Tribolium castaneum: one gene and its partner. The protein of the gene in region 2 interacts with the protein of the main gene of each other region in a pairwise test. Links are inferred from orthologs where the notes say so. Each region holds a gene or a part of one and is shown on either strand. Other genes may lie near its edges.

What was found. The genes of interacting proteins can lie anywhere in the genome.
Region 1: the proteins of frtz (region 2) and in interact in binary tests that used the Drosophila melanogaster proteins (3 or more experiments, as listed by UniProt). The link is inferred for Tribolium castaneum from reciprocal best matches to the Drosophila melanogaster genes frtz and in.

Annotation. Positions count from the first base shown.
Region 1 is NC_087397.1:2,692,791-2,696,861, forward strand, and holds the end of in (protein inturned), read right to left. Parts: intron 2,597-4,071; coding exon 2,186-2,596; intron 2,138-2,185; coding exon 1,868-2,137; intron 1,822-1,867; coding exon 1,570-1,821; 3' UTR 1,310-1,569; downstream 1-1,309. UniProt on the Drosophila melanogaster protein: Plays a role in the definition of cell polarity via the planar cell polarity (PCP) cascade. Acts downstream of fuz and accumulates asymmetrically in wing cells to regulate planar polarity in the wing. Probably acts by regulating ciliogenesis.
Region 2 is NC_087402.1:1,546,511-1,551,959, forward strand, and holds frtz (WD repeat-containing and planar cell polarity effector protein fritz), read right to left. Parts: upstream 3,241-5,449; 5' UTR 3,054-3,240; coding exon 2,971-3,053; intron 2,919-2,970; coding exon 2,783-2,918; intron 2,736-2,782; coding exon 825-2,735; 3' UTR 625-824; downstream 1-624. Other genes in the region: forkhead box protein N3, read right to left, coding at 4,804-5,143, 5,188-5,449. UniProt on the Drosophila melanogaster protein: Probable effector of the planar cell polarity signaling pathway which regulates the septin cytoskeleton in both ciliogenesis and collective cell movements. Functions cell autonomously to regulate wing cell hair polarity and number.

The sequences.
Region 1 (4,071 bases), on a different chromosome or scaffold from region 2:
TCCAGATTAAAGGAGTTTTGAAGAAATTACGAAGAGAAAGTAAAGGAAAGAGGGAAGAAAAGTTATTCAAAGTGCATGAAAAATTTTCGAGTTCGGGATTTTTAAAATTATGTGTTTAGTGTGTGTAAAGGAAGCATCTCATCATCCAGATTAAAGGAGTTTTGAAGAAATTACGAAGAGAAAGTAAAGGAAAAAGGAAAGAAAAGTCATTCAAAGTGCATGAAAAATTTTCGAGTTCGGGATTTTTAAAATTATGTGTTTAGTGTGTGTAAAGGAAGCATCTCATCATCCAGATTAAAGAAGTTTTGAAGAAATTACGAAGAGAAAGTAAAGGAAAGAGGGAAGAAAAGTCATTCAAAGCGCATGAAAAATTTTCGAGTTCGGGATTTTTAAAATTATGTGTTTAGTGTGTGTAAAGGAAGCATCTCATCATCCAGATTAAAGGAGTTTTGAAGAAATTACGAAGAGAAAGTAAAGGAAAGAGGAAAGAAAAGTCATTCAAAGTGCACGAAAAATTTTCGAGTTCGGGATTTTTAAAATTATGTGTTTAGTGTGTGTAAAGGAAGCATCTCATCATCCAGATTAAAGGAGTTTTGAAGAAATTACGAAGAGAAAGTAAAGGAAAGAGGGAAGAAAAGTTATTCAAAGTGCATGAAAAATTTTCGAGTTCGGGATTTTTAAAATTATGTGTTTAGTGTGTGTAAAGGAAGCATCTCATCATCCAGATTAAAGGAGTTTTGAAGAAATTACGAAGAGAAAGTAAAGGAAAGAGGAAAGAAAAGTCATTCAAAGTGCACGAAAAATTTTCGAGTTCGGGATTTTTAAAATTATGTGTTTAGTGTGTGTAAAGGAAGCATCTCATCATCCAGATTAAAGAAGTTTTGAAAAAATTACGAAGTTAATATTTTATGATAGTGCGTGAATTTTAAAATTTTGAGTGTTTAGTTGAAAAAAAAAATAACCGTGTTTCTAAAATATTATATTTTTTAATTAGAAATTTTGGTCTTTCTTAAGTTTTCATTTGCATATTTGTGCATTGCTTTCTGAAATGAGTATGGGATGGAAATCGGATACCGGAATACAGAAACAGAAACCCTTGTAGGCAAACAGAGAGCAGAGACACTAGTACCGTGGGTACCTCTGTATACCTTTCAAAAAAATTCATGAGACCTTCAATATTTTCAAAATTAATTTTTAAATTACACGAAATTTTCGAAATCTTCACCGTTTTCGAAATTTCGATGCAGAGCTACTCACAAAGCGGAAACGGAAACGGCGGAAACGGGATACAGAAACGAAGTTACCATCACTTGTTTCAATTGAATTTATTTTTTTAAGTTAAAAAGAAAGCCAAGGTTTTTATTTCAACAAATATTTGCAATTTAATTCAATTATTTTGTCTCGGGAGTGTTCGGATAAAGTTAATCAGTACGTAAAATAAATTTTCGAGTTCGGGATTTTTAAAATTATGTGTTTAGTGTGTGTAAAGGAAGCATCACATCATCCAGATTAAAGGAGTTTTAAAAAATTTACTAAGGGAAAGTAAAGGAAAGAGGGAAGCATAGCCAATCATTTCGCGAGGTCTAAATCAATTTTAAAAGCCAACTCGATGATATTTTGTGGAATATTTTCCTGATAACAGACATAGACCTCCCTTGGATGAGGCATATAAAACAGTCTTCCAACGACCCAGTATTTTATGTTACTCTTCTTATTATCGATGTCGTCCAAAAAAGGACATTCAAACATAACGCCATGTTCTTTTATTGCAATCAAACTCTTATTCATCACTGATTTCGCCATGTCTTGCGCTGGCATATTCTATAAAAAAGACATTAAAAAAAAATTAAACTCGCTTGAAGCATACTTTGAATCGCAACGTATTTTGAAACAAAGAATGAAACTTATGACAGGCGTTTCTGAAACAATCGAGAATCGCGTCAATCGTTTGCGACTGGAGCCGACACTCAGGCGGACCAATCAAGATGCCTTCAGTTGCATCAAACTGAATAAAATGGAACAAAACATTGTCTTTCCCGGCCGTCAATTGTCTCGGCTGTATCTCTCCAGTTTCGGACAAAATCGTTTGCCTCAACTCCGATATATCAAAGCTGCTGTTGCTCATCTGACTCCCATCCTGAAATCATCAAACACGAATAAAACAGAAGAAAAACGCCACCCCCACCCCGTAATCATCCGAGTCATCGGAATCGCACCGACTCCTCCTCGACTCGCACTGACTCCCCGAATCCGAATGATCATCCAGGAAAAATGAGCTCGAATTCGTAACATTCTGGTCCGAATTACGCCGCTTCAAAATCGAAGTCACTTCCGGTTTTCTGCCTTCCTTATGTTGCGACACTGATTTGCTCAAAGTGTCCAAGAAATCCGACTTGCGCTTGGTGCACGTTTCGGGGATTGTCACCTGCGGCCCGGGATTTGTCGAAATCCACCGATCGGCAAGCTCGGGGATTCCCAGCTCTTGGATGTGGGCCAAAGTGGCTTGGGCCTCTTCCACGTAAAAAGCGTCCGGGCCCATGTTGTCTTCAGCCGGTTCTGTGCAACCGCCGGCTTCCATTATCACAGCTAAGAGGTCCTGAAAATGAACAATCGAAACAACCGGAGGACTCCAGCCAATGAACGCATGGTAAGAATTCTCTTCCACTGTTTCAGTGCTAGAATGACCAATTTCAGAACGCAGTTTTGGTGACTTTGAAGCCGACAAGTGGACAGGTTGGAAGAAATATGAGAAGAAGTTGAAACCAGTCTAATGTTGAAGTGCGTGAACCGAGTTGGTACCCCCGAAGGCCCCCGAGGACAAAAAATTTAAGTACCCTTTTTAATTTTGTAAATTTTGTTTAATTTTGGTGCCTTTCGATCCTAGCAAATTCTAAAAATTTCTTAAAATTTGAACAAGATAGTATTGCAGCATTCAACTACACAGAAACAAAAATTCATTCATTAATTTATTACACAGTGTCTTTAGCCCGTCGTTGTTCAGATTTTGTTGTTTATTTTCGAGTGCCTAACAGTACATTTACATTAAAATTTTGAGTGTTTAATTGAATAAAAAAAATAACCGTGTTTCTAAAATATTATATGAAATAACTTGAAATAACGATCGGGGCCCCGAAACAATTCTCAGAAAACCTCAGAACAGAGAAAAAGTACACCCTATAAATGGAAGACGTTCAGGAGATTGATAAAATATGTGGGGAGAAAAAGATTAGTTGCAATTATCAGGGAGTCAAGTTAGGGAACTATGAGTTTGCTTGGGAATTTATGTTAATAATGCGCGTATTATTACATAAATGCTCTTGCAACACTCACCAACAACAAGACAAAAAAGTTTAATTTTGAAAAAAAAGGAGCTTTTAATGTATTTAGAGTATTAACCCCACAAAGTTCTTAACACGCAGCGAAAAAAACTAACAAAAAATACTTACAATTAAACCAATATTTTGTTTAATCTTTATTATCTTCGTTAAAGTAGCATTTAAGATTTTTATAAGTGCGAGTTAAGAATAATATGTTAATAATAACTCTTTGTTTTCGGTACGTGGCATCAACCTTGGAACCGATCATCCCCGCATCAGATGAGACCATCTACCCTCCGGGTGTCCGTCAAGTATACAAAGACTTACCAAAAACCTACTTGTTACGGAAAGTGATGTGACTAATGAGTTTTGTTAATACGTTACCTAACTGATTAATATGCTTCACTTTGTGCCTTTTGCGATACCTATGTTTTTTGTTAATGACGATTTATCGATATTGTTACAATATTTATATTGAATAAAATCCCCGAGTGAAAAAAAGTGTTTCATTTTGAAATGAACCCGCACAAATGATTTAAACCCTATCTTAAACAACGCCAAACCAAGGCAGGAGTACAAGAATAAGCGCGACAGTTTCGGATTGCTTGAAACAAAACCAAAATTTTTTGAGAATTAAATAAATAATTATAAATAAAAAAAACAAAAAAATTCTTCTCGAAAGGAACAAAACGCCGTATAAAATAAAATAAAAATAAAATAAGTTGTAACGTACACTCCACAGATACGAGTAGAA
Region 2 (5,449 bases):
GGCAAGAACAAATCCATTTTTTCAATCAAACAAACTCTAGTTTGATGTAATCTTTGCAATTTTCAATTTTTTAATGGAGAGATTTCACCACAAATTTCAAATCGCCCGCGTTCGGTCAAACCAGCCAATAACATTTCGTTAGCTTGACATCATGCGACATGCGTCAGAAAGACGCTTGTGTTAGAGCGTCGTTTTGTTTTTGCGCGTTGTAGAAGCAGTGTTTTGTGTATTTAGTGCCAAAACGACCAAAATCGAAAGTTCTAGAAGTGCTGGAAGCCGCTTTTGAAAAGGACGTGATGAGCGTTAAGGTTAGTCATTTCACTTAAATTCTGTTTCAAACGAATACGAAATGATAACATAGAACAAAATGCCAACTCCAACACCCTGTATAAATGATTAAACGCCCTTTTTTATCAAAATGTTTGGCACGAGAAGTTCATTTTTGTGCCTATTTTCATTTCTACAACAAAAATAGCACTGACGTCGTTTATGTCTGCCCTTACGTATTCAGTAATAATTAGTAAAAAAGTGTCTCATTTTTCAAATAAAATGAGTGTTAAACAGGCGTTCACACACGTAATCTAGTGGTTCGTCCTTCTGTTGTGTTGAAAACAAATGCAATAATGTTGTAATAAAAATATTTATTTGCGAAAATACGAAGTTATAAAAAATAAAAAATCTACTCATTAATTAAATATACATATCAAATTTCGTTCCTCCACAGATAAAACATGTTAAATATATTTTAATACAATCTGGGGCTCCTTGGGTAATTTATTTGTACTTCTAACGGACGGAAACTGTCTTCAATTATTCTAAAAGAATTAAACAACCCCAAAATGCACCACTTTGATTTTGGGTTGCGCTTCCTCGCTCTCCCTCCTCCTCACAGGGTTAAAATCCTTCAAATAATCCTCATTTGGGTGACAAAGCGGCAAACTATCAGCCAACTCTTTCTGCGGATCGGTGAAATGTGGTGGCGGCGGCGGCCTCGCTGGCCGCTTAATCTCCGGCACGATAAACGCCGTCACCGTATCAGAAAACTTAACTTTCGGGGGCACCTTCTTAACCGCCCCCGTTGAGGGCAGCGGCGGCTTAAACACATTTCTGGGAATCCCCAAATTGGGCAACGGGGGCGCTTTAAAATTCGCCGGCACTTGCGGCGCCTTCACGAAAGTGGCTCTCGGGTAGGTCTTCGGTTGGGGGTTATTGAAGTTAGTTGTGAGGTAATTATCGGGGTTTTCGTCACTACTTCCCGAACATTGGGAGCACGAGGACCTGGTGCAGTTCGAGGCCTCGCTGGAGCAGCGACTCAGGAGGGCCGAGGCCTGGGCGCGGGCGGCAGCCGCCATCTCCGTCTCGCCGATTTGCACCGCGATGTAGTGCAAGTCCATGAAGAGGTCATGGTGCCCTAGGTCCACAGCCAAGAGGAAGGCGGTTTCGAACATTTGGGCGCGGACTAACTGGTGGAAAAAGCGACGAGTGAGCGAGAAAATTTGGGTGAAGAAGCGGGAACGGGTCTCGGGGTTCAGGGGCACCGGGGGGCTGTGGAAGCACCCGAGGGCGTCCTGGAGATACTTGGCGGTGTCGTCGGTCATTGGCTGGGAGAGTAAATAAGCGACGATTTTTTGCAACACGTGGAAACTTTCCTCGTTGAATTCCCAGCTTAGGAGAAGCCGAATGGCTTTATCAATTTTACCCATTTTTATGTAACGTTGTGAGAGAGATTTGAACGATAAAGACCGGTCAATGTGAGTGATGAGTAACATGGGGCCTTGCTCCAAAACCACGACTAAGTCTTTTGGGCCCCAACTCACCGAACTGATCGTAAATTGCGAATTGAAATAACCGGATAAGTCAATTAAAGCTGTTGGGGTGCAATCCTCCCCCATTATTTGTGACTTAACGCCGTTCAAAGCCGTGTCAAAATACTGCAATTGCCCCCTTTCATTCAAAACGGTCACAACAGCTCCCAGAGAATTCCAACGTGCGAACTTTGGTATAAACAACCCTTTAACCGTCCGAGTTGACCCCCTGACACGGTCCAATAACGCCAAAGACCCATCAATACAACCAATCAGGAGCCTAGTTTCCTGCTCATTTAAGGCACAGCAACTGACTTGTGTCTGAAGTGGGACCGAAATGACCGAAACCCGTTTCAAATTGGCCCCAACCAGCTCAAAATTGCTCAACTCGACTGAGACAGCCCCCCTGAGAGTCACCTTCTGTTCGATTACGAACAAAGTTCGGCGTATTGTCCGACTGACGATCACTTCAATGGGATCCCCGTCGGTTTTTTTGTACGCTAAGAGTTCAGGCCCCCGGACGCCCACCCAGTACAGGTGTAGATTAGCCCGTTGGTAGTCCTTGCCAAGGGGGCTCCAAGGCTGCGGGTGTTCGGCCTCGCATTTGCCCCAAACGGCAAGCCAGTCGTTGTGGAAGTTCAGGTGGCGTCGAGGGCCCCCTTCGACAATCCAGCCGTCTTTCCAGGAGCCCCCGAAGCCGAGCACGTGGCCGTCATTACAAATGCAGATGATTTGGGGGCCGAGGATAACACCGTCGCATAATATGTTGACTTGGAGTTTGGTGGCGAGGGATTTGTCGAAAGTGAGGCTTGTGAGGTCGCCTGTGGTGATGTCGATGGTGAGGGTGACGACCACCCCAGTTGAGAGCAGGAGTTGGAGGTGGTTGTCGGACCAAGAGAAACAGACGATTTTGTTGTGGAGGAGATACTCCTATTGAAAGAATGAGTGAGAGTGAAAGGGTGAGTGTGTGAGCTAACCTCGAGTTCTTTGAGACGGTCGCGGAGTTTTTGGGGACGTTTGTTGGGCAAGTGCCAGATGACACCTCGTTGGTCGCAGTACTTTTTTTTGCTTTGGTAGCAGAGGGAGTCGCTGGGATCTTTCTTAGAGTAGTATCTGGAATAAGGGTTTTTAGTTCGCTTTATGGGGTTGTGAGGGGTTTGGGTACTTGAATGATCCAAAATCTGGATGTTTTACGATGACGTCTTCTTGGGTGCTCCAGAAATGGATTTCGCTCAAAAGGGTCAACATTTTACGGCCGATTTTTGATTAAATAGTCACTTTTGCAAAATAAATGCTTCTTTTTGAGTCTCATCACTTCATTAATTCATAAATTAAAAAATTCGAACAATAATAATAATACCGATGTGTAAATTCCCCAAATCAGGGAATTTTGATTTATCACATCAGAGTAGCAAAGTGGTTTCAGTCTACATTTATTTATTATTAAGTGTGCTTGGCCCTATTGTAATTTAAATTTTACTTATGATTATCAAAGAAACATACCGTGAAAACGCAACATAAATTTTAAAAATTCAATTAAACTTCGTTGCATTTTATGTTAGCACACCTGGCTAACGCACTAATTTATAATCTGTCAAAGTGACAGGTAACCTCAAATTATTGGTGTTAAATTAACGAAATTTATTGTGAATATCGCTAATTTGGGGAGAGAACCGAAAAGACCTCCTATGAGGGATTTTGGGGTAAAAAAGACGGGTTAAAATCAGCCGTTTTATTTATTTGAATAAACTAAAGGTACAAATAAATGGTCATAACAATAATAAAATAAAATATGCGCAAACAAGTGTTAAGTTCGTTTGAAAATAAGGAAAAAGTCAAAAGCACACTAATAGTTTGTTAATGGAACACATTTGAACGAAAGTCTAACCTACTAAAAATGTAAATATGGAAAGTATGTCAGAAGACCTATTTTATAAAATTGGAAGACAGGCGCCAAAAAATATTGCCAGTAGTGATTACTGCAATAAAAGTACAAAACGATTTGGCACATAGAACCTTAAAAATACATACCAAAGCCAAGAATATTGGCAAAGCATAGAGTATTATTTACTAGATCAGGCAAAACTGGTATTGCTATAAGATATTTAGAATTCTCACATTCTAAACTAACAAAATCAAGTATCGCACTTATTCATTCAATTTCGGAAGACGGCCAAAAATACAATAAAACTCTTTTTGAAAAGTTGGAGAAATTGAATGATAAGAGTAATAGGAAAATAGCTTTGAAACGCACACACATTTTGAAACATTTATGATTGTTTCGGATCTTTATGTACAATAGGAAGAGCAGTATGTATCACGGGAAATAGAAAAAATATATTTACTCTACCCTACTTTCAATGATTATAAACTCAACTTGTAGCAATAGGAAAATTCTAGATGATTTTTTCTTATTCCCTATCACTGATACACGTTTATTGCTTTTCAATGAAATGACCAGATATCAAACACCAAAATGCCCCAACTCAGGATAAATACAGCGAATTTCAGCGCGGTGGAGCATCTAAGACAAATCAACAGCTTAAATATGGAAATAAATAAATAAAACAACAGAATTAGCTAAAATCAATATACATATAAATTACTTCCCCACTTAATGATTAGTTAGCCTACTTTGGTAACAGTGATAAAATTAATTCATTTAGATAAAATTTCAATCAGCGATAAAATCTTGCGGAAATTACTCCTAGAATAAATTAATATTTGGTGATCAACCTGACGCGAAATGTTACAACAGTTCGGGCTCTGGAGTATTTGAAAAAAAATTAAGTCGGCAACAGAAATAAAATTGCCGTGGAACCGTCATAAATCAAAATTTTCAGTCAGTAACACTTCTAAAACAATCCTAACATAGTTACTCTTCATATTTCATAAATGTAAACAAAAACATAAAATATATTAAAATTACAATAACAGCGTTAGAAGAATTCAACTTAGTTAAAATTACGTTATATTCATCTAATTACCGGGCGTTTGATTACCTATGCTGGTTGATTTCCAGTTCGCGCCGGTGTCTGACCCACTCATCGTTGTTATTACACAACATTTTTGATTTACCTTCTTTTTTCTTCGCTCGCAAAAGGCGCGGTTTGAAGGGCGTCGGTCGCTCGGTTGCCTCGTTATCATTGATGTCGTACTGCGGCGACAGTTTTATTCTTTTGTACGGTTCGTAGTCCGAACTTTGCGAGTTGAACCTCTTCCTTGTCGTTATCCCAGCCAAATTCAGAAGCGTCTCTGCGCCTTCTTTAATCTTGCGCTCCTCCTCGTCCTCAAAGTCGATTTTGCGACACGTGCGACTCTTGACGACCCTAAACGTCCTATAAGAAATTAATGTTTTGCAATTTTCGGAAAAAAAAATTACCTTTCGTCGTCGCTTTCGAACGCTTCGTCCGTGCCTAAGGGATCGACCGAATCGGCGGCACTGTAAGTGTGATCCTGGCTCGGTGAAGTCGTGATGACTTGACAGTAAAGCGCTTTTTCTTTCTTCTGGCGGTACCGTGGCCCGTTTTTCAAACTTAACATGACCGCAGCGGCGTCAACAGCATCCAAAGACTCATCGGAATTCTCCGATTTAATATTTCTGTTGTTCAATTCAGCCGAAGCTAGTTTCCTTGAAAGGTAGG